Tribolium castaneum: one gene and its partners. The protein of the gene in region 1 interacts with the protein of each later gene in a biochemical or structural test. Links are inferred from orthologs where the notes say so. Each region holds a gene or a part of one and is shown on either strand. Other genes may lie near its edges. The genes, in order: Cdk1, RpS3, Rpa2, CrebB and runt-related transcription factor 3.

Region 1 (4,074 bases):
AAGTATTTGGCCAAATATTCGCAAATTTACGAAGACCGAGGGTGAGAATAATTTTTTGATTTTTACAAAATTTCAATTTCCATTTTTTTTAACAGTTTGATAACTTTGAGATACACCGCTCCGGTGAAATGCCTCTTTTGGAAGCGACTGCAGATGATCACGATTGGAGAACGACTCGTTAAGCTTTTGGTTGATTTAAATTTTGAGAATCACCCGATTATTGTGCATTGTTTCTCAAATGGGGGCGCTTTTCTGTATCAGAATTTCACGCTGGCGCTTGAAAAGAGCCCCAAACCGATTCAGGTAAAACTTTCCATGTATAATGATTATTCATGAGATACAAAAATAAGCCTTGAAATGCTGTTAACTTTGCCATAAAATGTTTGTTTAAAGTATCGGACAAAATGTACTGTTTGTGCAGATAAAAGGAGTGATTTTCGACTCAGCGCCCGGAAAACGTCGCGTTCTGAGTCTGTTTCGGGCCATTTCGGCAATTTTGGGTGGAAGGCCCCTTTACAATATTCCCGCTTCAGTCCTCATGACTATGTTTTTGTCTATGATTTGGTTATACGAGGTGCGTTCGCACCAAAAACTTTAAATATTCCTTGATTTATTATTGTAGGTTGTTAGCAATTACATCAGTCCGAAAAAAACGTTCCAATCGAACCCGTTAGAAAACTTGAAAGATGATAAAAACAACTGTCCCCAACATTTTATCTACTCGAAAAAAGACATTCTTATTCCTTATACGGTAACCATCTTAACTATTGTAGCCAATCATCTTTTTTTTTTTTTCAAGGATATTGAATATTTCGCCAACTATCGAAAATCTCTGGGTATCGATGTAACAACTCTCTGTTACGAAACAAGTCCTCATGTTAAACACTACACCGAAAATAAAGAAAGTTACGTGAGTAGCGTATGCAATTTTTTAAATAAATGCCTAAATGGCACAAATTAATTCACACAAAAAACATTTCAACGCTTAATTAAACTTTAGGGTACAATTTATTTTTCTAGACGTTGTTGAATTGCACAAAATGTATTTATTTCAATTGTTTCATTAAAACTATGTTCCCAAATGATCTGCTTTATGTTGCGCCACTGTCCCGCATTTCCTTTCACTGTTACCATAGCTACATTGACGCATCACCATAGCAATATACACGTGCAGCTCGTGCATGATGTATTAAGGAGGTTTTCAAACACAAAAGATTTTTTAAACAAATATATTTAGAAAATAGTCATACTAAACACGATAAACCTAAACCTAACCGCTTATTTAAGGATCGGCTTTATTGACGTATCAACCTTTTGCAAATACGGATGTAAAGCGATTTTTTTGGCCGAAATCCTCTTGGCCGGGTCATAAATCAGCATTTGTTTCAACAAATCTATAGCGTCGCTAGTCATATTTTTTACCTGACTTTCCAAAGTACATGATTTCCAATTAGGGAACGTAACCTTATATTCAGGTAATGTGGACACCCCTGGCCAGATTTCGTCGCTTGGTGTTTTCAAAACCCTGAATCGAAAAAAAATGCAAGTTGTTTTCGTTTCTATAGTTACATGATTTGATTACCGAAAAATGCGGAAAAGTTGGTCGATTTCGGAGTCGCCTTGGAAAAGGGCTTTTTTGTTGGCCATTTCGGCGAAAATGCAGCCCAGAGACCAAATATCAATAGGGCACGAGTAACGTGCAGAGCCGAGGAGCACCTCGGGGGCGCGGTACCACAAAGTGACAACTTCGTGCGTGTAAACGCGAACCGGGACCCCAAAGGCGCGCCCTAGTCCAAAATCGGCCACTTTGATAGCCCCTTCGGAGTTGATGAGCAGATTTTGGGGCTTAAGGTCGCGATGAAGGACTCGTCTTTGGTGGCAGAAGAGAATGGCTTCGTTGATTTGGTAGAGGTAGCTTTTGACGAGTTGGGGGTCCATGTAGGAGCCCTGTGGGATGGTGTCGAGGTACTTCTTTAAGTCCATTGACAAAAATTCAAAAATTAGGTAAAGACGATTCTCTTCCATCATCACGTCTTCCAGGGAGACTATATTGGGGTGTGTGAGCTCCTTCAGGAGGGAGATTTCGCGAATGGCTGTGGAAGGCACACCTTCGTCTTCGGGTTGCAGTCGGATTTTTTTCATTGCGACTAGCTGACCCGTCTTCTTGTTTTTGCCCTTGTACACCACACCGTAAGTGCCTTCACCAATTTTTTCGATCTTGAGGAAGTCATCCATGTTGGCCCCCTGTTTCGACATTGCCCCAATATAACCAAACTTTCCACTTAAAATGACGTTTATAACGTCAAATTGCAATGCCTACACGACCACAAACACGATATTTTATTCAAAGCACACGAGTTTTGTTAATTTTTACACACTTTTAACGGCTCGTTTGAAGAAATATGGAGAAAGTTCGTTGGAGATTTTTGAACCAACCAATCGGGTACAATTATCCCCGTCTCTATCGCACTCACGTCAATCACAATAACCTGTCTTTTTTTTGGCGTAAATAGACACACATTACCAACTTCAGACACACAAAATTACTATACGATCGCCAAATAATAGCTTTGGCCAAAAAATGGGTGTTAAAATCCTTTATTATTGTTGTATAATAATTACAAAATCAAGCATTAATACGTGAATAAAATTACTGACAAAAAAAATCCATTTAACCTTTCAAACTGCTCATTCCGGCTCTCATTATTTCATCAACCAACAATAAATTGCTTGCAATCACCGAACACGAATTAATTATTTGTTTCTTCACGATGTAATTATCGAAAATTCCGGCATCTTTCGGATTAATCGGTTGTCCTGAAGCTAAATCAAGCCCAATTGGTTCCTTATTGTTACGAGATTCTTCTTGAAGTTTTACAATAGTATCCTAAGAACAACAAATAACTATAAAACAATCAATGAGAAAATCACACAAACCTGAGCATCGAAACCAGAATTCGTTGCCAAAACTTTGGGAATTACAAGAAGGGCTTCCGCGTAAGCACCAATTCCAAGACGCGATTTTCCTTTAACGGTGTCCTTGTAAGCCATCAATTCTTTGTGGGCGGTCACCTCAAAAGCCCCTGCGCCTGAAAAATATCACAAAAAACTGTTTTGTGTGCAAAATCAATTTGAATTAAGCGCTATGACATTTAGTGATTTTATTGGTACGGTTGGTAGCGAAACAATTGGCGGTGCATCAAATTTCGTGATGGCCGCTTACCGCTTAGTAAATTCGGGAAAAATCGCTGTTAAATCGGTTATTTCGTGCAAATGTTTGTGCAAAAGTGTTCAAAGACTTTCAGTGTTCCGATGTGTTGATCTAAACGGCGATTTTCAACATTGACAAGTAAGTACCGAAGTTGGGTTTTTGGTGATGGGAGTAGTTGAAGCAACTCGTAAATTCAATTTTTGAGCTCTATTTTAAACGGAAAACGCATTGTGAGTCTAATAAATTAACAATTGTGTGGCCAGGTCAGGTCATTGACCCCTATTTACAATTTCAAAGCCTAGTAACGCACATTTTTAAGACGCGTCACAAAATGACTGTGACGTCATCCATTAAGCAACTAGATATTTTGTTAATTTCGGGAAATGAGTGAGTTTCTGACTGAAAAATAATGCGCTGGAACCTTAAAAAAAGTTCAAAAATAATATAATGCTGGGCTTAATTTTGTAGTTTTGTGCAAATATGCTTGAAAAACGGCCTAAATTTAACGATAGTTTAGATTTTTTACAATTCTTGACTACAAAATTTAAAAAATACACAAATTTGGTGATTTTTTGGGAGATTTATGATGAAATTCAGCAAAAATTCCCATGTAGAAACTCATAAAAAGGATAATTTAATTTTTTTTTAATTCAGTTTTGTCTTTTTATTACCTGGAATCAAGGCTTTGTCCTCTATGGCATTATTGATGGCCCTTAATCCATCCCTCACAGCATCCTTGATTTGAGTGAGAGTGTGTTTATTGGGCCCTTTAATAAGAATGGTGACCGACTGTGGTATTTTGCATTCCTCAACGAAAGTATATTTATTTTCGCCCAAAACATGTTCATAGACAACTCCAGCAT
Region 2 (4,725 bases), on another chromosome or scaffold:
ATTTTGCCTAGCAAACCACCACAAAAGTTAAATTTATTTTTGAAATGGATAATTATGATGTAGATTAACTCAATTACAGGGACAGGATTAAATCAAACAAAATGTTTCCGTTAAATTTATATTTAGAAAAATAATAACTACCCATTACCCACAGAGCAATTAAAAGAACAAAACTTTAAAAAGCCTAAAATAACACCTTTATATTTATGTTACTTCTAAAATTTAATGCAATGGCCACTCTTAACAAAAATCTTGAACACAGAGAGGCTTTTTTATGTAAGTATAGTGCACATGTCCCTGGTTAAAAACATTTTTTTTATTTCTTTCTCGAAAATCTTGACGCAATATCGGATTTCTTATTTAAGCTGCAGCAAAATTTGCTATAAAAATGTACCAGTATAAAATTAGGTATAGCAACAAAAAATTAGGTAACAAAAGAGAAATGGCTCTGTATTATTTAGACGACTTTAAACCACTGGAACTGGAATCCGTTATGAAATACGTACCTGCTTTTATAAAGGGAAGGACCATGAAGCTTATTTATAAAAAAAATGTCTGACGCAACAACAAACTGAAGATGTGTGAGTTTTTTTCACAAAAAAAGGAGTTAATTATTACAAGCTCATTGGTGGCGACCAGTATTTATTTTCAAGGACTATGGAAGAAAAAATACAATAATAAAAAAACATTTATTCTCACTTGGTGTATAAAACCTATACATTTTCTACATAAAATGGATACACTTAAACATCACTATCTAAATAAATCACAGTACTCTTAATGCTGAGACCTCGTTTGCGATCCCACACATATTTTTATCCACAGCTATGTACAAAAATCCCCCGTCCCCAAAGTCCACACCCCACGTATTCCTGACAATATAATGCGGAATACTTGCAGTCAAATCATACCCAACAATCTGGACAGCATGATTTAACTTTGACGGATCCCCATCACAGTGATACTCAATAACACCTCCAATGTAATTCTGCCAAGTTTGCGCATTAATCGCAACAGCCAGGGGTCCATTATCCGCCAAAAGCCTCAACATAACATCTTCAGACCCCACTAATCTGAAAGTTTCCATAAGAAAGAATAAACTTAAAAAATAACTAAACGAACCCTTCACACATGAAGTCTCTAACATGGACACCAGCCGAGCCCCGGCCACATTTACCCCCATAATCGGCGTGTCTTTGAATCGTGAAATTTGTGGCTTTGATCCAAGACAGTAAAGTGCAAATATCGCCCCCATTGCACCCTTTGTTGTTACCAGCGCAATCGATAATTTCTTGCACACTGAGCTCCTCAGACTTGTTGGTTTTGATGGCGTTCATGGACTCCACAGTTTCAATAACAGAGTAGGCCCAGCAGGCCCCACAACTGCCTTGGTTGTAAATTCTAGTCACTGCGTTTTTTTCTCTCCAATCTACTTTATTAGGCACTGTTGCTCGTTTATGGTGGTGTCGTTTTGGCTCATTTGAATGCGTCTTCTGACTCAGGTTTGATTGTAAATAGGTTTGGAAAAATTCCTCTGGTAACAAGTCCGAGAATTTCGTTAAACCGTACAGTGCTGAACCATTCCTTTTTTTGGAATTCAAAGTCTCGATTGTTTGTAGTGATTGCTGAAAAGCGACGTTATACAACAAGGACACAAATTATAAGTTTTACCTTAAATGCATGAAGACGGTTTTGATACACAGAAGGGTCATCGTATGTCTTGTTGAACCTTTTCAAGTACTCTTGAAATTGTGATTCGGCTTGGTCTGGGCCTTTTATTCTTATAGGGATAACGAAAAATAACAGAGCAATGTAGAAAATCGCTTGCAAGTAAGTGCTCCACGAAGCCATTCTTATCAAAACAGATATTTTGGTAACAATGATAATATTGAACTATTTGTCGCTATCGCCATGTTTATTAATTTGATTATCTTGAAACACAATCCTGGCCCAGTTAAGTGACTGAGTGGAACAGAAATTTATAATGAGGGTGAATGAGGTTTAAGCAGGTATTTTTTGATCCACATTGTATAAAATGTCACGACATAACCTCAACGTATGTTGTCAAACCACAAACATAAAAAATAGATGACAGAAATTAACAAAATTACCAAAAAAACTAGAGAATTTATTTATTTATTTTTGTTTTTAATTTATTTTTGCCTATGGTCTTACATTGTTTTACGCAACAGTTGCATAAATTATTCGGTCCAAGATCTTTCCCCAAGATAATATTTTACATTTGGCGCAACTTGTGTAGAATTACATTGCGTTTATTTTCTCAATTACGGCGAAAATATACGACAAAATTGAGATATTTTCAATTATTCGTATGCAAAATTGTCTGGAGAATTGATTGGCGTCGTAAATTCGTAATAGTTTTTCAAGTTATAAACCGAAATAGATTTTGGCTATTTTTGCATTTGTTAGCAATAATAATATTTTTGGAAACTACCAGTAGCAGGACAATGACCTTTTTTTAAACGATAGATGATTAAAAAGAGTTCTGAACACATAAAAGTTCATAAAAGTTGTTGGTTTGGTTGGAGCTACTCAGATAAAAAAAAAATAATTTTTTGAAGGTAAAAAAACTGAAAAAAGAACAGTCTTTTCATTACGTTATTTACCCGATATGCAAGAAAGTTTTCTCTCCAAAAATTATTCAAATAAGCCGCCTTGTAAGCGTCCTCTATCACATCCCTTCCCAATTAGGTCGACTTCCGCTCGCCACACGTCAAACCTTTTCCATTTAGAACGTCAAAATGGCGACTCCAATTTCGAAAAAACGCAAGGTAAATACCAGAAATTGGCCTTTCCATCCACTTAAACATGTTTAACTCTTCATTAGAGCCCAAAATCTTGTAAAATAAGCACACATGTTTGGGCTAACATTCATGTTTACTTGTTCCCCAAACCATAACCCAACATTTTCCCACATGTGGTCCCCAGTTCACCGACTTGATGTTGCGCTTATTTGTAGTTTGTTGGCGATGGCGTTTTCAAAGCCGAATTGAACGAGTTCTTGACTCGTGAATTATCAGAAGATGGGTACTCCGGGGTTGAGGTCCGAGTCACCCCAACTCGCACGGAAATCATCATCATGGCCACACGTACTGACCGTGTTTTGGGGGAGAAGAACCGTCGTATTCGTGAATTGACTTCAGTCGTACAGAAACGTTTCAATTTCCCCGAAAACTCAGTCGTTTTGTATGGCGAGAAGGTGGCCAACAGGGGTCTGTGTGCCATTGCACAAGCAGAGTCTCTTAGATTCAAATTGATCGGAGGTTTGGCCGTGCGCAGGGCTTGCTATGGTGTTTTGAGGTACATCATGGAATGTGGCGCTAAAGGTTTGGACATTTGGCTCAAAACGTATTTTGAATTAATTTAGTGGTTATTTTGCAGGGTGTGAAGTTGTAGTTTCTGGAAAACTGCGTGGCCAGAGAGCCAAATCGATGAAGTTTGTTGACGGTCTCATGATCCACTCTGGGGACCCATGCAATGATTATGTGGACACAGCCACCCGCCACGTCTTGCTAAGACAGGGTGTGCTGGGAATTAAAGTAAGTTTTTGTAAAATTATTGGTGTTTGTATGATGCTATTTTGTTGTATTAGGTCAAGATTATGTTGCCGTGGGACCCCAGCGGCAAAACAGGCCCCAAAAAGCCTCTGCCTGACAATGTCTCTGTTGTGGAACCTAAAGAGGAGATTTTGCCTGCCTACCCCAGCAGTGAAATCAAAGCAGTCAAACCTGACGCACCACCAGCTATTCCAGTAGTAGCTTAAAGTTATCATAAGATTAATTTTCAATAAAATTCTGGAAAGATAACTTTCGTTTTATTTTAATACCAAGAAAAATGCCCTTCCTGTTTCAACCTTATTCCTAATTTTGCCATTGGGAATGTTTTCTCCCTTCTAAAAAAAGAAATTCCTCTAAAGCAGTGAGTCATTAACTGCGACGTGTTTTATCGACATTTCAGAAAATTAGCTAAACTTTGGAGCTACGTAATTTCCAACTAAGTAAGATTTTACAAAATGACACGTAAACAAAAATTTTGGCGAAGCAACTAATTGTTGAGTGAAAAAGGCAAAAGCAGCGTAGATAATTTCCGTTTCTTTTTGAACAAAATATGGTTTAAAAATGTGCTAAAGTAAGCATTTAAAAGACATCGTGATTCTGTCCGTTTTTAAAGGAATTTCGCAAAATAAGAGAGCTTAAAGCAATTTTTAATTTTCGGCCTGTTTACTAAATGTTTATCTCTGAACTGGATCATAGTTCGTAATAACAATAACAAAAATAAAAAATGGGAATAATGAAGAATAATGGGAATAATGAAGAGTATTTCAATAAAACGCCCTTTTTTAAATATTTTTTTATTGTGAAATTACAAACTTTTGCTTATTAACATAACAACATGACATGGAGAAAATTTAATTCGAATGAGTTTTACAACAGAAACCTCCATGAGCACAATGCATTTATAACGATATAACAAAACTACTTTACACCATCCATACTAAAAATTAATAAAAAATCATTCCTGGGTTAAAAGTATATAAAAAGTAACGGACGAAATTTTGCAACCATACCTCAAATTCGTGCAAAAAATTGCATGAACATGTACCAAACAAGTGCAAATAAACAATACTAGGCGTTAAAATTACCCATATCACGAACATTTGATATAATAAGGATACATGGAACAACTAGCTCACTGCTGATGCTG
Region 3 (3,591 bases), on another chromosome or scaffold:
CGACGCTGAGTTGTGGTCGGCCCTTGAGGACGTTGAATTGAAAAGTGTGATTCGGGACTTGGAAAGTGAGGTTTCAGAAGGGGGTTCGAACTTTAGTGTTGGACAGAAGCAACTGCTTTGCCTGGTTAGAGCAATGTTGAGAAGGAACAAAATTGTGGTTTTGGACGAAGCTACGGCTAATATCGATCTCAAAACAGACGAACTGATTCAGTTAGCCATTCGACGGAAGTTTCAAGAGTCGACAGTATTGACCATTGCACACAGGTTAAATACTGTTCTGGATTCTGATAGGATTTTAGTGATGGATGGTGGAGTTGTGGTGGAGTTTGGAAGCCCAAACCAACTCCTGGAAGATACTGACAGCTATTTTTATCAGTATTTTATGCAGGGGAATAAGAATCAAAATCTCGAAATGAAATAAACTTTTATTAGTCTCGTCTATGAATATTTTACATGTTATTTGTAGCTTCCACAAAGTACAAAAACACTTTAGCTCTATTACACAAATAATAATCGAAAAAAATTGTGCCTACATTATTAAATTTTCCTTAAACAAAGGCTACGATGTAATTGTGTATTTTTTGGAATAAAGAAGGTACGAATACTTAAAGATTTCGCTAAAATGTTTTATCCACACTACCTTGTACATGAAAAAAAAAACACGCGTACTCTTTATTTTTCACCTAGCAACAATTTATCTCAATGTGAGTATAATTGGTTGCCTGAACTTTAAACTCAACTGAAAGAAATTTCTCTAATTTATCTTTTATTTTTGTTTCTGTATCGTCCGTAAAGGTACAGAAACTAAAATGAGTTCATAAAATAACCCAACCGCACATGTTGGTATTTTTTTCATCCATCAACTTTTAACTCATCGTAAAAAAAGTCAACTTTAGTGGTTTTAATCTTTTCTAAGACCTTTATAAGGATGTGTGAGGATTAATAGGTAAAAGAAACACGAGCTTTTGCAAAGGAAAATGTATTTAAAGTATACGAAAAATGTAAAGCAACCAGGGTGTACAAAAAAATAAAATGAAACAAATTTAATCCGCATCTGTGGCCTTGTAATGATCGGTGTCAACAGTAGTATACACATGCCCCTCATCCAGCAAGAAATCCAAAGCGACTCTGGAACACACCATCAAACAAAACCCCACCTGTAAATAAATACGCACTCAGCCTCCCTTGCTTGTGCTCCAAAGTGCTGCATAATTTCGCTCCTACTCAACCCAGTCCTACTTTTGATAGGTTTCAACAAATTGATAATTTTGACTTGCATCGGCTTAAGTCCCGACGAATTATTTGCAGCAGCTGACGTGGACGTTGTGGCCACAGTGGTCGATAAATTAGCAGCTGGGAGCCTCCCATCGGCCAGTCTTTCAGCGTATAATTTAGCTTGAATAATCTCCAAGAGATGATTTGTGACGATGTTTAAATCATCAACTGGAAGGATTTTGAGAATCATGATCATTTTTTCACCGTCTTGGGTGCGCACTGAGCCGAAAACACGCACGTAGCAATTTTCCTTGACGGGGGGAAGGGCCGTCACAGTGTCCTGCTGGCAAAAATAACGAAACGAAAACGAACAAATCTACTTACGTTATCGGTCTCCAGCCACATAATGGCCTTAATGGAGGCACTGTGGTCCTCAATGGTGCACGTGGCTTTGGTCGTCTGGACCTCAAAGTCTTTCAAAACCCCCACGACATCAGCCTGAATTTTTCATACAAAAAACACAAAAAAACGGGATAAAACTTACGAAATGGACCGGCATCCCGTACAAATTGAACTCCTCATCGGTGCACTCAAGGATATGCGAAATGAACAAAGGGACAACACTTTGCATGCGCCTCACTTGCTGCAATCAGAGGAGTAAAGACAAGCACAAAAAGCGCCCCACAAACCTGTTTTTTCTTGGCAGTGGACCCTTGGTTATCATCATTTACGAAACCGCCGTTGTTACTGATATCAAACTGATCAACACTAAACATTTTCACGTTTTAATAAAAATCAACAATTGCGGTTAAGAGTGGCGGGAAATTCTGACAGTTGCCTGACACCTTCGTAGGGACTTTCCATTTGCACGGGCAAAAACTAGGGATTTTTACATATTGTTCAAAATTCAAAAATAAATTTTCGAAAAAAAAATATTTTTTACAAAACAACCGGCCCACAAGTCGGGGGCCACTGATGTAGAGGGCGCCACTTTCCTGTTTGTTTTGTGTTATTTTAGGTTATCTCAAAATTAAATGGAGAGCCCCCTTGATGTGGGGAGTGGGCCGGTGAAGGTGCGCGACGCCCTTCTGGGGCTCACTGCGCTCAACCACGACGTGGTCTTGCTCGACTACGGCAATGTCGTGATCCAAAGGGATTACAGGAACTTGTCAAAGGTCCGACTATTGTCAGGCGGTGTCGCTGGGACTGACCTAATTCACGCCGTTTGTGTGGGCAAAGGGATGCTAACGGCTGCCATTCTGGGTAATTTACCGAATTATTGGCCCTGTCTTACTGTTTTGCAGGGGAGGAGACGGTGCCAAGCTCCCGTCAAATTCTGCACACGATTAAGGAGCTGAACGAAGGGGACAATTGCGGGATTTGTGTGATAGTGCAAGCAAACGCTGATTTGTTCAATTTTGGGTTGGCGGTCGAACGGGCCAACACGGACTGCCGGACACGAGTTAAACTACTCCCAATTAATGACGATAAGAGCGCTAAAAAGGAGCGATATTCGTGCGGGTTTATCCTCCTGGCTAAAATTCTGGGGGCCTTGGCGGAAAGCGGCGCCTTGTACAATGATGTTTGCGAGTGTTATAAACAAATAATTGATCAAATTATAACCGTTCCTTTGAACTACACGCACGATGGGTCGGGCACCCGAAAACGCAAAAGTTTAGTTCTGTCCGATTTTGAGTCAAACTTTAGACACATTATTGATAAAAAATCGCAAGTTTTCTTAGGCCTTCACCCCTCTATACCGACGGTCGCTCTAATTAACGCGTCTAGAACAATGGAGAGATACGTAGAGTTGAGTTTTGTCAAACAAGTCATTGAAAGACTGAAGGAACTGGGCGTTTGTGTTGTGCGAATTTATTACGGGAATTTCATTTCAGTGGCCCCCGGAACGGCCTTTCTGACCGTAATGAAGGTGCACGACATGAAAATTATCGATTACTTGGACGCCCCATGCGGCGCCACCGGTAGGTCTTACATATTTTTTACAAAAAATATAAACAATGCATTAATAACAATTGTTATTAACAATACGAGTGCGAAAAATCAAGCTTAAAGTTCGAGGACTGTCGTTATGCAACGAGCGTATGCGAGTGTGATTCAAGAAAAATTTTTTTGTTGGAACATTTTAATTTAAAAACAAAAATTAAAAATAATTAATAAAAAAAAATAATAAAATAATAAAAAAAATTAAAACAATAAAAATAAAAACACGTTTTTTTTGCTTTAAAGCATCGAAAAGTTAGTGCACAGCACTGTTTTTTTAAGGTTGGCGTCATTTCACGCAATTTTTGCCCGAAATCAGCGCCCAGAACGAGATTCCGGGCCTGCTGACCCACTATGGTAAGCAGCACATCAAGC
Region 4 (4,425 bases), on another chromosome or scaffold:
TAAATCATTTGATACCAAAAACTTTATTTCCTGTTTGGCAGAAAAAGTAAAAATAATTCCTTTTGTGGTTAAAATTTTAACGAGACTTACTCACTGCCCCTAATCACGTATTTGGTCAACACAAAAAAATAAATAATAAATAAATATTTTTGTAAAGGCCCTAAAATCTCTGAAGAAAATGTAACTGATTTTAGATCAAGTACAGGGAAAATACACACAATTGCCTTGCGATGTGAATATACAACTAATTGTACCACATGCTGCTGAAAATTCTCAAACTGTGAATTAAATATTGAAAGGTTAGTCAAAGTAAAGGAAAATTAATTTTCATGAAATTTTTGTATCATTGAGTTCTATGATCTTTGATGTATGTTCTTTCAAAATTGAATTCAGAGTTAAAAACATGCCTCTGTGTAATGAAGAGTACAATAACTAATAAACAAAAACATATAATTAAACAGAAAAGCTTGCTAACTAAATGTTTGGACAAATAACTGTTTTACAAGTTTAATATTCAATTAAGTCCCCTTTTGCTCTTACGATTGCTCGAATAGTGACCGGGATAGTTTTACTAGGTTCCAACAAAATGCAAAGGTAAAACCGGCGCATATTTTTTAATTTAATTTTTTAAATCGTGAACTGTTGCACTTTTTGAGTGAGTTCTCAGATGGCTTTTCATTTCGATATTTAGGTTCGGACTATTTAGAACAGTTAAAATATGTCCACCAAACCATTTTACCTAGTTCTCGCGGTTACATATTGCCCAATTTTGTTGAAAAATAAAATCACTTTGAGGATAAAAAAATTAAATGGTTAGTTAATAACTAGTATACTTTAAGTTTTTAATGGTCTATCGCCAAAAGATTTAGGACACCTCTATTGTTTCATGATAATTTTATTATTTTAAGGGGGATACCCACGCTAAAAAGCGTTGAATTTCAGCCATTTTCCTCGGTGTTTTACAGCCATTTTAAGTAACGTTTTTGAAAGTTATTTACAGGCTACATTCTTCTCCTCAGGTTGTAGGGGAGAAGTTTTTTAAAATGCAATCAGTGCTTTGTTTATTTAAAAAAAAATAAATCCTGAAAAATGAAAAAGAAATGGCGTTCTTTGAACATTTCTTCCATTTAACATTAAGTATTAAAGAGAAAATGAAATACTTTTAGCTCTGAAGTGGACTCTTAGGAATAATGTGGCTTTTGTTTTAACTTGAAATTGTCAATCGTTAACTCGTAAAACTCTTAAAATGAACTTGCGGTACTGGCCTATGATATCAGCGATAGTTCCTTCTATTGTGTGCTCACCTCAATTCAGTGGCACATACCTCAAAAGCGGACTCGATTTGGAATTGCCTTTATACTGAAAAAGACGTTTTTGTAGAAATTTTGAAAAATTTAAAATTGGTCAGATTTTTCATTTATTTCGTTATATCTTTTTTCTGTATAAAGCTAGAAACGTCTTTTTTTGCAAAAGATTGCATAAAGAATGTAATTTTTAATGCAAATACACAAGTTTTAATTTTAAGAAAAGGAAACTGAGAAAATTGGACAAGATTACGATTTCAAAGGTAAATTTTTCAACAATTTCCACAGAACGCAGTTGCAAACAAAACTTCGGATTCGAAGTCAGCAGAAAATTATGCTTAAAGAATTAGTTTAAAAAAACGTGTGTCCTTCAACCCGGGCGGAAAAATATATTATTAATTAAATAATTACTGATGGACCCTCTCCTGGGCAGTTGACGTAAAGTACATAAAATATTGACGGCAAGACACTCATCCTGGAAAGACAGGAATTCTCCCCCTTAAGGTTATTTGCATGTCCACAACTTATTTTCATACAAGACTCAATTTTTTTGCTCAATTGAAATAAAAAAGTGCAAGTTTTACTCAAGATGTAACAACTTCTTTAAGTGAAAATAAGCAATTTTCTTCCATGAACCATTAATAATAATATCAAAAACCCATTCTGTCCGAACATTATTATTTGTTACCAACCTTTACTTCTCGATTGTAAATTGTCTTTTGTACCGAACATATTAACTGCGGTTGTACTTATAGAATTACAGAACTAACTACACTAATGGTTTTTATATGTTTATTAGCATAATTTGTCCGAACATATTTAATGGTTAGGGCTAGTAAAAATCAATATTATTTTTATGATTAGAATATTTTTGTGAACAATTGATGATCCTGATTACTTCCGGAACTTGTAGATTCATGTAGGCATGGACAAATGATTATCAGAAATGCGGATGTTATCCTCAATACTCAGACAAAAAGATAGCAAAAAATAAATAAGGGTTGTATACCTAAATACAAATTTTTTTATTGGGTTCCTACTTATTTCAATTTAATTTTATTACTTTCACTTTTAATTCTTCCTTTTTGACTTGCCCATTTCTTTCGCCAAATAGGCATTTGTCATATGCACCGAAATTAATAGTATTTTTTTTAGATTTAGTTTTAATTTTTAGTTTTTAATTTTTTAATGTTGCAAAAATTCATCCACAAGAGTATGGAGTGTCTGATGCAAAAATTTTCGGTCTAGCTCAAACGAAAAATGGTAGACGACCAGGATCATGCACGGAGGGGCAGGAAAACCCCTACCTGTGCTTGGGTTTGAGTAGGCAAAGTTAGTTGGACAATGTTAGTAGCTGTCATCAGATGGGACTGTGAGTTTGAGACCCCTACCGAGGCGATGGGTGATTGCGGGTCCGGCGATGGGGCCAGTGGATCAACTGCTCCATTCTCTTCCACTATCCCTTCCATTGCCTAAGTACAAAAGCACCTGCAAACAACAACAAACACACTTGGTCAAAATCGCAACAAAAACACCATCAGCGAGAAGCGAACGCGATTACATTTATTAATAAATTTGTGACGTCATTATTGAAACCAACACAGAACTTGTTCTTTTCGGACAAACAACCGTGTGATAGTCGCGTGACGTAACAACCTATTTTAAAAATTACCACCCTGCTTACAAATATTGACTTTTTTAATTATTATAACCTGTTTAATACCAAAACAGGTCATAATGATAACGAACAGCACTTTAAACAATCAACAATCGAGCTGTTTATTTTAACAATAAATGAACCGGCAGTACGTGCGATCAAGCAATACGTTTTACTGGAGTTTTTTCATGGTTGAAAACATTTTTTTCTTGTCTTATTTTGCATAACATTAAATTTCTACATGCCAGGAACCTACACATTTATAAAGGAGTGTCCTTTTTTTATCATAAGATTAGAAATAACTGAAATGTTTGGTTTGTAGGCATTATACATAAAACATTAAATAATATTTGTTCTGGAAGTATGTACTGCATGCTTCACATAATTTTAGGAATGCAATCGACAATACAGTATCTGGTACAAACCCAAATACAAATTTCGAAAAAAGTCTTCGCAAAATTGTGAAACACTCATGAAATATTAAAATAATCCGGATAATTGAATACAGTACGTAAAGGTTTTGCATTTAAAAAAGAGGGTTACCCAATAACATATTAGTCAATTTCACTATGGATGAAGAAGTTATTTACAATTTAATTAGGTGCGTTGCCTCCTTAATTATTCGCATGATTATTTGAGAACAAAAAATATGCAATAATTATTATCGACTAAAAACTAGAAAACATAAAAGTATCCTCTCCTAAATAATGTGCAATACTATTCAATTACGTCATTTGTTATCTTAAAAAGTTATAATTTTTACATAAACATGATTAGAAATGAATAGCATTAATCTAGTTGTGTCACTGAACTAAATAAGGAATAAATACCCTGATTTTTTCTTAAACGTAAGACGTACGTATTTTGAAGACCTTTCCTCATTTTTTAGTCTGTCGATCAATTGTAAATTTCGGAGAATTTGAGTCGGGGAAAAACCAGTCATATCCTTCATTTGACGTCAAATTCCCGTTTTTTTTTCAAATTAATCTATAGGGTGTGGCAACTTTTGCTACCAGGGTCAAAATGTCGACTTCTAGTTATGAAAGCGGACATCTCTGTATAATAACGTATGTGATTCTGCTACGAGGGATGTTAAAATATTATTGTTTCTAACACTTCCAATCAAACATTTTTATAGGACTAACTCAAAAAAGTAAAAAAATACTTCTACATCAGTGACAATAACTTATGAACTGCCCTCGTATCATAATTAACTCTTGCTTAGTCTTGGGTTAAGTAGATCTAAGAAATAAATTATGGCAAAATTGTATAATCCGCTGAGAAAAGAATTATACAGCTCAAAATGTCAAGCATTTAATTAAATTTAAACAAAACGATACTGAATGAACTTTCTTATTCCAATTTGCAAAAGCAAGAATAATTATATTAATCCGCATCTTTTGCTTTTGCTTTTGAAATTTTAATTGGAGCTTATCGAAGTCATAAATACCAAATATTTGCGAC
Region 5 (5,128 bases), on another chromosome or scaffold:
AAATAATTTTTTAAAAAACCTCGAAAAATATTTTAAATTTCCTATGCAAACCTCATATCGTTAGAAAGCTTATCAAAAATGCTATCAATACATAAAAAAATACATGGTGTTCTAGTTGAAAAAAATGAGTTAATCAACTTTTTGAGTTTTGGCACACTCTGTATATTAGCAGCGTGCTTTAACTAAAAATCATCTATTTGTTAACACTGCAAGGTATTGTAAATTTTTCTATTTTTTTTTTCTAAAATATTCAAAGACGACTTCGCAGTGATTTTTCAAAAATTGTTTTTTTTTATAACCAAAAGTTGAATACGAAACGAAAAAACATATACCCATAAAAATTTATAAAAAGTTACATTATTTTTTTGTGTAGAATCTAATTATGCAAAAATATATGGAATGTTCTATTTAAAAAGTATAACTTTAGTTCACCACCGTGTATACAACACCCTGGGTGTAATAAAAATACTTTTTGTTTGTGTACTTTAAGTCAATCGATCGAAAAATAAAAACAGCATAGTAATATTTCTCAAATAACAAAAAAGTTATAGACCGGTTACACACCTCTGGGTCACTCTGTATAGTAATATTTTGAAATTTAAAAAACTTGCACCCACACCTAAACTAACCTAAGCCAACAACATTTTGAATAATTAAAATTATTTTAAGTAAAACCCATTTATTTAAAACATTTAAATAATCAACAAACAAAATAGAAGGTGAAAAAAAAAAGAAAAAATAAAAAAAATTGAAATCTGTCTAAAAGTAAAATTTGTTTTAAACTAAATCATGCTTACAAGAAGCTTTATTATTTCGTACAAAAACATATAAAAAATTAATTGGAAGGGCCTACACGTAAATATTTTTTTACCTACATGGTTTAAGACTTGGTTAAACACATTCATTTTATGGCGTTTCCAATGTAAAAAAAAATGAAAAAAATATCAACGTCGTTTCAAAACTGAATGTATGTTAGAAATAATATTTACAAAATGACCATTAAAAATTAAAAAAAAATCTAATGCCTAATAAATTATGACTACGTTCTCAGACCAAAACACGTATAAAAACACCAAAGCCTCAAAATGAAAAACTCGCCAGCCAAACGATTAAGATTTTTATTTCAAACAGCTTGGTATTTTTAATTTTTTTTATATTGTTAAAAATAAGCTTGATTACGCGACAATTCTAATTCGTTGGAAGCACAAAATCTCACACTTAGGTTTCTTCAAAAAAACATTAAAATTTCTAAGTTGTTTAAGCCTTTAACACTCGGTTAAAAATATTTAAAACTAGATACGAACTTATTTGGCCGTGAATAATAAGTAATGACAACAATTCTATTTATTATTTTTCTGAAAAATCCAATTAAAAATTTTACTTTGACACGCTTATCTAAACAGCTGATCCAGAAATACTGCTGTCTTTTGGCAATACTTCTAAATTTAAATTTTAAAGAATACAAATTACGTACTCTTCCAGTTAACAATAAATCAAAAATTTTGTAGAGTTATACGTCAAAATAATTTCAAAAAAAATTGAATTCAGTAGCGGTGTTAAAAATTACGAACAAAAATACTTTTCTATTTAATTAAATGATCTAGACTTTATTGCCTAAGTATATATGAAGAACATTAGCAGCTTGATCAAGTATTATATAAAAGAAACTTTAGTCGTCTTATTCAATATTCAATATCTAATTTTCGTGTTATTTAGTCATTAAAATTTCACATTTTCGAAGTTAGGGAATAAATATTTTATTTTTTATTTGTTTTCTAGGTAACAATTAATTTAAGTAATTGTAGAAAAATTCTGAAAAAATTCACATACATCGAGTCATAGAAAAATAACGTGTTTTTTTTATTTTTTTTATTTAATGTTAATAATGCAACTATCATAGCAGAAGTTTTTGTGAATTCTAGAAAAGCACTGGAAGCATCTTTTGTAAGTTTCTTTAGTTCATATATATCCTATATACAATTAATGTAAGTTTTAATTCTTTTAAAACAGTTAGTTCAAAATACATTTTAACTATTTTTACGCAAATTACAAAAAAAAAATTACAATGATTTTGAAATTTTCCGACGCGAGGTAATGTCAATGGAAACTGCACATTTACTAGAAACAATTAAAGTTTTTTCTACCTCAAATAATGCACAAAAAACGTTTAATAATAGGAAAAGGACTAATAAAATGTAATAAAGCCATAATTATTTTTCAGCGCAAAAATATTTTTTTATAAAAATTAAACCAACAACAAATTAACAAGTAAACCAATTAGTTGTACAAGTAGGGCGAGACTGATACCTCAAGAAGCCTTACACACACTCGATGGTTTAGGTCTAGAAATAAACACCCCCTTCTTGCAACTCTTATGTTACTGTTTAAACTAGTAACTTTTATTTCCAATTATTACCAATTGTTCCTGAAACTATATTATAAGCTTTAAACAAAAACAAATCGAAATTCCAAATAAGCGACCTAATTAAAAACGAAATGTTTTCATCTGATTATCAATTTTCGAAATGTATGATAGTTTGATTTCAATTACGCAAGTTGCATATCAAATCAGTTTATATTTATAAAACTGTGGGCAGTTACAAATTTGTACGCACCAAATAACTCATTAATCGTGCAATATTGTTTCATGTTCGAGTACTGCGCAAAAATCCACAAAAACTAAAACATCATTTGAAACATTCCCTATCGGCGACATCTCCCCTAAGCCGTAAAGCACAAAGTGATTCGTCGCTTCAATAAAAAACAACGGAGGGTGCCTCAAAGATGAATCAGAAATCAGCTGATCTGCCCCTCGCTGGCAAACTGGACCAGAACGTGATCCGACTGCCGAGCGCGCCCCAGCCCCGAAAAATAATAACACAGCATCGGCCCTTCGGCAGCCCCGTGCGTGCCGCCTCTAATTACTCAAGCCATTACTTACTGCGTGTGTGTGAAAAGTCGGTTTTAAGCCACAGGTCGGTCACTCGGCAACCGCGCGCGCGTTCGTTCTTTTCGCGTCGCGAGTTATTCTGACATTAAGAAAGAGTGTAAAAGTAAAGACGCGGGGTCGTTGTGTGGGTGGTCGAGGGGTGAAGTAGGCGGGGCGTGTTGAGGTAGACCGCCACCGCTGTCGCCGCCGCCAACCAGGAAAGACGCCGGATTTTTACCCTCAAACCAGCGTCGTTTCTTAGAGGTTTACCAAGGGGTAGAACTCAAGCGCGCGCAACTTCTAAACGTCTTTTCGGTTTTTTGCCGCCGGTGTCCCTCTCCAACGCGGGCAGCCGGCATGCCGTGGTCCTCTTCTGGCGTCTTGAAAGAATCACGTAGACGCTTTTTTGGTGGTGCCACCTTGCTCTGGTGCACGGTAATGGCCTGAGACGCTCCTTGTCGGCGTCCTCGGCGTCTTGCTCCGACGGCGAGCGTCTTTTTTCAACTGATAACGACAGGGCGAAAGCATCTCTACATGCAAATTACCGGAGGTAATTAACGGGTTTCGGATTTTTTACGAAAGTTCACGCATAAGGGGAGGGATATATTAATTAGGTGATCAAGGGAAGACAATGCGTGAGCTAATTAGGCGACCGAAAACCTCATTATGGCCAGAATTAGACGGAATGCGTGCAATGCTGACAGTTTGAGAGAACTATTTATAATTATGCTGAGCGCAGAAATTTGACCAAAGAAAATTTTTTCATCATCAGTACAACTAAATCATTTTATAGATTGTCATACTTGTTTAAATAATTAACCAAACCAAAGTTAAAAACTACTTAAACCAGCTACCTGTCCAAAGATTTTTAACTTGTAACAAGCTATGGCATGTTTAATTTGATACAAAGTCTAGACGCTATTATCTATAACTATACTTATTGAAAACACAAAACTATTTTTCCCAAAAATAATTAATTATTAGTAGGATATTATTGATTAGGAAATTTAAAATTGTCAATAAAAAAGGATCTCCATTAAGTTTTTTTTTATTAAAACATTTTGTAATTTGTAATTTTTTTGTGTTACGTTTTTAAAATATCATATTTCCAGAGTATGTTTTTTTGTACTTTGCAGACATTTTTGAAAATTATTTATATGATACATTTTTCTAGTCAGGCTGTAAATGGAAAAGTTAGTACCTTATTTAATTCAGAAAAAATGCCAAAAACTAAAAAAAGTGGTTTACTTAATAATTCCGATCAATAATAATAAAAGTTAAAAAATAAAAGCTCTTGACTACAAAGTTGCTCTTGTTTTAACTAGAAATTGTCGACAGTTAGTTCGTAAAAATCTTAAAATAAATTTGTGAAAATCTCGCCTCCGATAGAAATGGCTGGGATTTCATAAATCATTCATTACATTGTCGCTGATTTTTGTGTAGTTATCAGTTTTTAAAATAAAATAATAATATATATCTCATTACAGTTCATAGTAGAATTTTGCAACAAAGCATTTAATTTTTTGGAGTAAAATGGAGCATAAATTGAGAGTTTCTGGTGAGTTTTCTTAGCCCAAAAAGTGTCGCTAGAATTTAATTTAACACAGAATTTTTTTCTTTTAGAGAAACTCAATTTTTGCTTAATTTTTCAAAATTTAAATACGCTGTTGCAATTTTACCATAAACCATTCTAAAAGAAACTATTTCAAAATTGAAATTTTTTAATCGTCATTGAACATAAAACTATTATAATTAAAAAATAGAAAACTGAAATGGCACTGTTTTATTTTTTTAATGTAAGGAAAGTACGAAAAAAAAACAATGGTTTTACTTTTGAGATATAACTCTTTATTGGTATCACACAGTCATATTTTACATCAATCATCTCTGGTTCCTTATTTATTAAAACTAACAGTCATTTATAAGCTAAAATTAACAGAAAAACAGAAATGCCTAATTTAAATAATTTCGGTAAAAAAAATTACTTCTGATTATATTATATTAAAATTAAAACACCCACAATTGTTACTAAAAGTTTACCACACTGAAGTAGAAACAGTATTTAACTTCAGTGTCGTATTTTTTTCTATTGACCTGTTTTCTTCTTTTCTTCTATTTTTCATAAAATTAATAATAAAATTATAATAACAAAGTTATATAAATTTATATAAAATACCTACAAGTAAAATCTAGAACAAA

What was found.
Region 2: of the proteins of Cdk1 (region 1) and RpS3, one has a biochemical effect on the other in vitro, tested with the Homo sapiens proteins (2 studies listed by BioGRID, with this or other methods). The link is inferred for Tribolium castaneum from reciprocal best matches to the Homo sapiens genes CDK1 and RPS3.
Region 3: of the proteins of Cdk1 (region 1) and Rpa2, one has a biochemical effect on the other in vitro, tested with the Homo sapiens proteins (2 studies listed by BioGRID). The link is inferred for Tribolium castaneum from reciprocal best matches to the Homo sapiens genes CDK1 and RPA2.
Region 4: of the proteins of Cdk1 (region 1) and CrebB, one has a biochemical effect on the other in vitro, tested with the Homo sapiens proteins (2 studies listed by BioGRID). The link is inferred for Tribolium castaneum from reciprocal best matches to the Homo sapiens genes CDK1 and CREB1.
Region 5: of the proteins of Cdk1 (region 1) and runt-related transcription factor 3, one has a biochemical effect on the other in vitro, tested with the Homo sapiens proteins (2 studies listed by BioGRID). The link is inferred for Tribolium castaneum from reciprocal best matches to the Homo sapiens genes CDK1 and RUNX1.

Annotation. Positions count from the first base shown.
Region 1 is NC_087401.1:17,534,028-17,538,101, forward strand, and holds Cdk1 (cyclin-dependent kinase 1), read right to left. Parts: upstream 2,465-4,074; 5' UTR 2,257-2,464; coding exon 1,583-2,256; intron 1,526-1,582; coding exon 1,279-1,525; 3' UTR 1,212-1,278; downstream 1-1,211. Other genes in the region: transmembrane protein 53, read left to right, coding at 1-41, 96-303, 422-574, 623-751, 800-961; CCT6 (T-complex protein 1 subunit zeta), read right to left, coding at 2,672-2,887, 2,938-3,089, 3,883-4,074. UniProt on the Homo sapiens protein: Plays a key role in the control of the eukaryotic cell cycle by modulating the centrosome cycle as well as mitotic onset; promotes G2-M transition via association with multiple interphase cyclins.
Region 2 is NC_087402.1:7,605,238-7,609,962, forward strand, and holds RpS3 (ribosomal protein S3), read left to right. Parts: upstream 1-1,967; 5' UTR 1,968-2,009; exon of another isoform or gene 2,010-2,083; intron 2,084-2,659; exon of another isoform or gene 2,660-2,712; 5' UTR 2,713-2,762; coding exon 2,763-2,792; intron 2,793-2,980; coding exon 2,981-3,347; intron 3,348-3,402; coding exon 3,403-3,560; intron 3,561-3,613; coding exon 3,614-3,784; 3' UTR 3,785-3,827; downstream 3,828-4,725. Other genes in the region: cathepsin O, read right to left, coding at 767-1,073, 1,123-1,625, 1,672-1,851; Kr-h2 (Krueppel homolog 2), read right to left, coding at 4,711-4,725. UniProt on the Homo sapiens protein: Component of the small ribosomal subunit. The ribosome is a large ribonucleoprotein complex responsible for the synthesis of proteins in the cell. Has endonuclease activity and plays a role in repair of damaged DNA.
Region 3 is NC_087399.1:4,631,188-4,634,778, reverse strand, and holds Rpa2 (replication protein A2), read right to left. Parts: upstream 1,992-3,591; coding exon 1,905-1,991; intron 1,859-1,904; coding exon 1,760-1,858; intron 1,714-1,759; coding exon 1,600-1,713; intron 1,556-1,599; coding exon 1,176-1,555; intron 1,129-1,175; coding exon 1,044-1,128; 3' UTR 964-1,043; downstream 1-963. Other genes in the region: probable multidrug resistance-associated protein lethal(2)03659, read left to right, coding at 1-421; triokinase/FMN cyclase, read left to right, coding at 2,250-2,478, 2,520-3,197, 3,499-3,591. UniProt on the Homo sapiens protein: As part of the heterotrimeric replication protein A complex (RPA/RP-A), binds and stabilizes single-stranded DNA intermediates that form during DNA replication or upon DNA stress.
Region 4 is NC_087395.1:6,448,621-6,453,045, forward strand, and holds part of CrebB (cyclic AMP-responsive element-binding protein 1), read right to left. Parts: intron 2,793-4,425; 5' UTR 2,774-2,792; coding exon 2,612-2,773; intron 2,606-2,611; exon of another isoform or gene 2,368-2,605; intron 2,314-2,367; exon of another isoform or gene 2,083-2,313; intron 1-2,082.
Region 5 is NC_087399.1:3,633,263-3,638,390, forward strand, and holds the start of runt-related transcription factor 3, read right to left. Parts: upstream 3,175-5,128; 5' UTR 2,942-3,174; intron 1-2,941.